2 linked regions of the Oryctolagus cuniculus genome follow. Each later gene encodes a partner of the first gene's protein in a complex. Links are inferred from orthologs where the notes say so. Each region holds a gene or a part of one and is shown on either strand. Other genes may lie near its edges.

What was found. Proteins that work in one complex are often made in the same cells at the same time.
Region 2: the proteins of formin-2 (region 1) and SPIRE1 are in contact, whole or in part, in a crystal structure (PDB 2YLE), measured with the Homo sapiens proteins. The link is inferred for Oryctolagus cuniculus from reciprocal best matches to the Homo sapiens genes FMN2 and SPIRE1. Residues at the interface, in NP_064450.3 of Homo sapiens: Ser1702, Leu1703, Lys1705, Ile1706, Lys1707, Pro1708, Arg1709, His1710, Gly1713, Ile1714, Lys1715, Lys1717, Ile1718, Lys1721, Thr1722; in NP_001122098.1 of Homo sapiens: Gln51, Pro52, Ile53, Asn54, Glu127, Ile131, Tyr134, Lys135, Asp138, Leu141, Lys142, Glu143, Asn144, Glu145, Glu146, Arg147, Glu148, Glu154, Ile157, Asp158, Ala161, Asn162, Thr163, Val164, Glu165.

Annotation. Positions count from the first base shown.
Region 1 is NC_091444.1:57,070,283-57,073,801, reverse strand, and holds part of formin-2, read left to right. Parts: intron 1-1,295; coding exon 1,296-1,387; intron 1,388-1,552; coding exon 1,553-1,682; intron 1,683-2,738; coding exon 2,739-2,885; intron 2,886-3,519. UniProt on the Homo sapiens protein: Actin-binding protein that is involved in actin cytoskeleton assembly and reorganization. Acts as an actin nucleation factor and promotes assembly of actin filaments together with SPIRE1 and SPIRE2.
Region 2 is NC_091441.1:69,320,438-69,323,956, forward strand, and holds part of SPIRE1 (protein spire homolog 1), read right to left. Parts: intron 2,322-3,519; coding exon 2,148-2,321; intron 1-2,147.

The DNA of each region.
Region 1 (3,519 bases):
GCGAATAGCACTTTAGCTTTCCACATGGCCACATTGACACCAAGAAGGGCACAGTTTTTCATTTGGTGTTTGCCTAATACTGGGCAGGTAATAAGAAAAAGGTTTTCTCATCAGCCAGACTACCCTTTCTCTCGTTCTTTGACTGGAGGGAGGTAGAAAGCTCTTCTTGTCTATTTTTTCACTCGTGTCTGCTAGTGGTTCCAGGTTTCAAGCTTCTCCAGCACCCCATATGGCATAAGTAGAAGGGAAATAGAAAGCCCAGGGAACTCAACAACATTCTATTTTCTCAAGTGGTGAGGTAGCTGGCCAGCCTGTCCCCTTTCTGGTCCTTCACTGCCATTATGCTTAGGAATTCCAGTTATAAGAGGGAGGACTGGTAAGCAATGGGGCGATTCCATGTTTATGTCCTTGTTGCTTTTTAAATACTTAGCGCCCTGCTGTAGGTTTCTGGGCCTCAGAATGGGGTCATTGACCAGGATATCATGGGTGAAATCTTGGGAGCTGCTTCACCTTTGGAGCTACTGTTTTATCTAGAAATGAAACTTCTGGCTCTAAGATCATTTGTTGAGCTCAATAAAAATGGTTTAAGTGACAAAAATAATCAGTTTGCAGGGATTAACAAATGAACCAAAGATGAGGAAAGAAGTCAGTATGTCTTCAAGATCCTGCATTAAAAAGTGTAGGATGGTGAAGGGATTTGGGGATATGTTTGGTGTTGGGGGATAAGTGAGAAGTGCAGATTGGAAAGAAAATAATTTTAACAAATTTGTTTTTGTGGTTGGACTGAGAATGCAATGTTAATAAAGAGTGAGAAATGAAAAGGCAGATTACAGACAGTAATGTTGGTCACACTGGAGTATGAGGTTCTAGCACAAGTATAAAAACTGTTAGGAAAGAGAACTTCATTCCTTGGAGACCTAGTATACTCCCAGCTAGCAATAATCTTAATTGAGCAAATGCCACTTTAAAATGAAAATCTTGCATCCTAGAGAATATTATAAACAGCCAAAATAACAAGAAAGGAAAACTGTATTGTTTTAAACCATGCTTGAATGAATAAATGTTTTGCAGATCACCAATCGTCAGTGACATTATTTGGAAGATTTGGGGATGATCTGGTTTGCATTAAACATATTTACACTTTAAAATGCCTTATAAATTAAGTCAAGCTGTACTACAAACAGATGCTAAGAAATATGAAAATATATAGATTTTTTGCTGTGTTAAGATACTTGTTATCTAAAGAATATAATTGACCAGAGTTTGAAAAACTGCTTGGCTTTTGTTTTTTCCAGAGAGCTCAGTCAGATGAACTGGAAAAAATTGAAAAGCATGGCCGATCCTCTAAAGACAAGGAAAACGCCAAGTCTCTGGATAAACCGGAACAGTAAGCATGCCTTAGGCCTGTGGCAAGGGCACAAGGGCTACGGGTGGGCCCTCTGTCCATTTGGAAAATGCAGTCTTCAGTGCATACCTGTCATGAATGAGATGAGGATCAACATCTGTTCATATGAATTATATTTTTCCTCTTAACTTGGCTTTATTTCTTTAGGTTCCTTTATGAACTGTCACTAATCCCCAACTTTTCAGAGCGAGTCTTTTGCATCCTGTTCCAGTCCACGTTTTCAGAAAGCATTTGCTCAATTCGTCGCAAACTGGAATTATTACAGAAATTGTGTGAGGTGAGTTTTGGTCCAAAATGAATTGAACTTGAATTCTGATTATTTAATTTGTTCAGTTATGTTCATGTTTCAAAGAAATTTATTTTATTTAAACTCTTTATTAGAAGTGAGGGATAGTAGTCCCACAAAAGGGACCATTTTACGGCTATGCTTTCAAGATCAAATCACATGTTCAGGTTGGCGCATGGATTTGCAGTACCGTGTTGGGCGAGTGTGGCCAGTGTGTGTTGGCCTCTGGAGAGCTGTCTTCCATCAGCTTTTGCCAAAACAAAATCTTTACTTTTCATAGTCCTTTCAGATATCAGACTTCCAAATGAATGAGATTTGAAGGCATTTTATTTACTTCCCTTCATTTTTGGCAGGGTTTTGCAAATTGTTAATAATCATTCCAACCAAATCATTTAGGGACAGACAGCCATATGGCTCAACAGAAGATTAATATTCTTCTGAAAACAGACTAAGTGCCTGGAAGAAATGACCATTATTAACATTTAAAACAATTTGTCAAAAATCAATAGTACCATTCGTTCTGGTCGTGGTAAATCATTTTGAAAAGTGGGATGATGTTATCAAAGACACATTTTCAGAGGAAGTGACATGGAAACTGAAGTTAAACTTAGTATTTTTGGAAGAAGTGTATGTGAACTTTTTGGGAGTAAACCTAAATTTGAAAATCTTCTAACTGCCTTTTGGTTTTCTACAGTTTCTTCCAAATATTTGTGTTGTTCCAGACATACACATGACTAGGATGATGGCAATGATATTGTTTTATAATAGTTGTCCTATTACAACCTTATTTAATTTCCTTGCAATTAAATAGTAGAAACAGCCTAGAGTGGCATCTCTCAACTTACAAAAACATAATTAAATACTTGCTGGTGGTACAACGTTTTAAAGTTTTAAAGACTGCTCTTAAAATATACTTGATAATGAGGGATGGGAAAGTTTGGTTTTGAACCAAGACTGTTAGTATCATGTGAATAGCTGGCAATGACTTTGGATGATTCAAACAAAACTTTGTATAAGAGAAAAATTGTTATTTATCATGTTTTACAGACGTTAAAAAATGGTCCAGGGGTTATGCAGGTTCTGGGTTTGGTTCTTGCCTTTGGCAACTACATGAATGGTGGAAATAAGACTCGGGGTCAGGCAGATGGTTTCGGATTAGACATTCTGCCGAAGCTGAAAGATGTCAAGAGCAGTGTAAGTATTTTGTACAAATGGATGTAGGCAAATTCAGATTAGGTATTTTGTCTAATAATTGGTCTGACTCTAAGCTAGATGTAATAAGTATTTCTTTAGGTTCCAAAGTCTGGCTTGAGCCAGATAAAAGTAATGGCTATCAGATACTTGTGATTTAGTGAATAATAATGTTTTTTAGAATAATTTTGAGTTCCTTGTCTAGTGAATGATTATGATACTTTAAAATTTAAGTTTTTTTTTTTTTCACTCTAACCTGTCTGCTAATACTTATCCTTTTGGAACCTGGGAGCGAGCTATTTTCTGTGAATTAGACAGCCTTATTTGTTATTTTCATCTCTGTGTTTAAGAATGAAGGCCAAGAGGTGCATGTTTTGAAAACAAAACAGACATGAGTGATTGCAAATAAGTCATCAAAAATATTCTGCTTTTCTACATATATTTTTTCTGATATTTATTTGTATGGGAATGTCTAAGCCTAATTATTTTTTTATCCTGCATCTACAATTGTGTTTGTTTTAAAATTAATTCAAGAGATTACAGAGTGATAGCATGGGATACTGGTCAGAGCCACAGACTAAAGTCTGGGATGGTAAACAGAAAATAAGAGTTCTATTTCTCTGATAAAAAGAGTCAC
Region 2 (3,519 bases), on another chromosome or scaffold:
CAAATAACCAGGTAAACAGACTTGTTCTTGTACTTGCCAGGAAGGTATCATATAGTGCCAGTTTCAGTAATTTTGCTACTGGGATACCTGGGTTGGTAAACATCTCAGGGAGACAATAATTGTTCTTTATTTGTGGGGATTTACTAGCACACATAATCAACCTGACAGCTTGAGCTCCCCTCTTCAGTCTCAAGTCACAGAAGCCCTTAGTCAAGCATACTTCCTCCAACTTCCTGCTTTGAACAATATGCAAATCAAGTGCTTCAGAGGATGCAGTAAGAGATCCTGGGTTTTTGTTTTCTTATGCTTTTTCCACATTAAAATTTACTAAAGGTCTAAAGGAGGCTACTGAAATTGAAAAAATTCAGTTTTAGTGTGTTTTGAGGTTTTAAAAATTATTTTAACTGTACAAATTTATGCGGTGTTATATGCCTATACATATATTTTTAAATTTAAAAAATACTTTGGGTTAGTAAAATAATTTCCATCAGGTCAAATGCTAATGTTTTAATTCTAGAGCTTTCCCAAGGACAACAAAACTTTAATGCAACATGAAAAAAATGACAAATAGTTGCTATGGATTAGTTTTTCCCCCTCAAATAACAAAAAGATTAATTCAACATCCCCAAAGCCAAACTAAGCTTCAGCTGTTCTTGTGGAGCTACCAGCACTCTGAAAGATACAGAGACGCAGGCTTCTGATGGTGGGGGAGTCTTGTGTACAGGGTAAGAGTTTCTAATAAACGAGAGAGAGGCAAATTTAAATAAAAACTATTAAGTTTAATTAAGCCTTAAAACTCAAAGTGAATCCTTTGTTGGTCTGAAGTAGTATGTGGCCTTGGTGTGTAGATACCACACCTCTATTTGGGGAGGATCCATAACAAAATGCGGCAGGTGGCTGGCGCCGTGGCTCAATAGACTAATCCTCCACCTGCGGCGCCAGCACACTGGGTTCTAGTCCCGGTCGGGGCGCCGGATTCTGTCCCGGTTGCCCCTCTTCCAGACCAGCTCTCTGCTATGGCCCGGGAGTGCAGTGGATGATGGCCCAAGTCCTTGGGCCCTGCACCCTATGGGAGACCAGGAGAAGCACCTGGCTCCTGCCTTCGGATCAGCCCGGTGCGCCGGCCACAGCGTGCCTGCCGCGGCGGCCATTGGAGGGTGAACCAACGGCAAAGGAAGACCTTTCTCTCTGTCTCTCTCTCTCACTGCCCACTCTGCCTGTCAAAAAAAAAAAAAAAAAAAAAAAAAAAATGCAGGTCTTCAGGTGTCACAGTAGGAGTGACAGGGTTAAAAGGCACACCCCTGCACCTGAGCAGGTGCTGTCCGAAGGGCAGGTCTAAACTGGGAAAAAGGTCAGAGACTGACCCCATATTTCATGACAATTTCATTGGCATCTGGACTCCTTTCTATACTAAGATGGGTAATGAGGATGAATAACACAGAAGCTGCCGCTGAGTCATCTGTTAGGGACCCTGAGAGCCACACTGGACCAGAGGGGCTTCAATGTGGTCCCAGGGCTTTTTATTTCACTCAAAAAATGTGAAGGTTCAAATAGTAGTAAAATATATTATTCTGTGCAAAGATCTCTAAAAAGAAAATACACAATTATTTTAAATAACCACATCAATAAAAAGAAAGATTAAATTTTCTCCTCCCAGAGAAGCAACACCCTGACCACCATAGGCAGCTTTATGACATGCTGGGAACAGACAGGTTTCTGGCCCCAGGAGGCCATCCTTTGGGTACGTGGCCCTCAGAGCTTGGTTACATGGCAGGAGCTACTCTGTCAGCTGAATGAGCAAGTGATCGCTCTTCTGATGGCAGGGGAGGCCCAGAAGAAAGCATGCTCTGGCTCTCAGGAGGACCTCCTGCACCACCCTGATGACAACGAGGTCACTCAAATAGACAAACACCCATGGGACATCTAATCTGATGCTGCATTTTGAGTTTGTTGTCCTTTCAAAGTCATTTCCCCCTCAACTGAGATCATAGCGAGATCTATACATCCTACACAAGATTGGAATCAACAATCAGAAGCAAAGTGCCCATCTAAGCTGTTAATTCTCGCAGAATGCAATAGCTGAAGTATCACTGTCAAAGAGATACAGAGAGTAAAATAATTCCCAGAACCAGCAGAAAGAGGCCAACCTTTGAGGATTTCCACCTGCTGGTAAAAGCTCTCTCACACAGATAATACATAGCCCCTGCTACCCCAACCATGGCTGCTTCAAAAGGATGAGAGCTGAGCAGAGAAGCTGCTTGTATGGTAGAAAAAAGTGGTCGGAAAGGCGTCCTGGGCCATACACTGGTTATCCTAGGAACCTGAACAATAGATAAGGGAAAAAGAAAATGGCAGGAGAAAAGAAAAGGAGAAAATAACGCTGAACATGAGTGACCTACAAATACTAATTACAGAAATGAAAGAAAAACCAAACAAAATAGAAAACCCCACAAGGATGGTAATGGTCCACACCATGTCTGCATCTGTACATCTAACTCAGAAACCGAATCCCAAAGTCATGCCTAGAGATTGTACAGTTCCCACAGCAAAGACAGATTTCGCATTTCTCTAGCTTGGGGGCCCTTTGAACGTTCTGAGTCCCCTAAATGGTGCTGCTGGGCTAAGGGACAGAGGTAACCGCCTCCAGTGTCTGAGAAAACACAAGGATACCAGGGGGTCTTCAAAAAGTTCATGGGAAATTCATAGTGTGAAAAAACTATGAATAGATTTCAAAATTTCAATGCACCAAAAGTAAATTTATCTTTTAAATCCATTTTCTCATAAACTTTCTAAGTCCCCTAGTATACACCAAGGAACTGTTTGCTTCTGTCTCTGTAAAAGTACTTTCTGACAGCCTGCCTTTCACCTAGAGGGGCAGTCACCCCCAGTCACTTCACCAGGTGATGAAAAAAGTTACACTTCAGACATACTAAGGAAAGGGAGGGCAATAGAGTCAAATACAAAATGATTTCTTGCTTAATAAAATTAAACTAAAATTCCAAATTAATTACCATACTTGTAAAATCAATGCTTACCAAGCTAGAGGGCACTACTACCCACGTTTGATATCTATGGATTCCCACGCCACTGGCAAGGACAGTAGCTGCACAGCTGGATGTTCATGTTTGTCTCAGCTGGCGCCAGAAGGCACTGGGTGAGGGCCACCCTGCACCTCTCCATGGTCTCTGCTCCCTTCCCTCAGCCTGAGCTCCACCTAGGTGAACCCAGCTCTCCCACTGCCTGTTCACAGGGACCCTTCCAACTAACTGCAGTTAGTTTTTCTTGCTCTCCTCCCTCTTCTACAAAATACAGGCTCACAGTCTGACCAAGATTTGCCAGATCTCTTGGTCTCTGGTGTGGGCTGAAGGTCTTGGCATAACCTCTATTATTAGCTAACATAACACTATGGTCGATGGTTCCTTTACACTGATAATTTTTATGTTTAATTTAATCTTACCTCAATAATTATATTATATGACCATAAGGACCAGATACATCAGTGAAATGATACACTAGTTT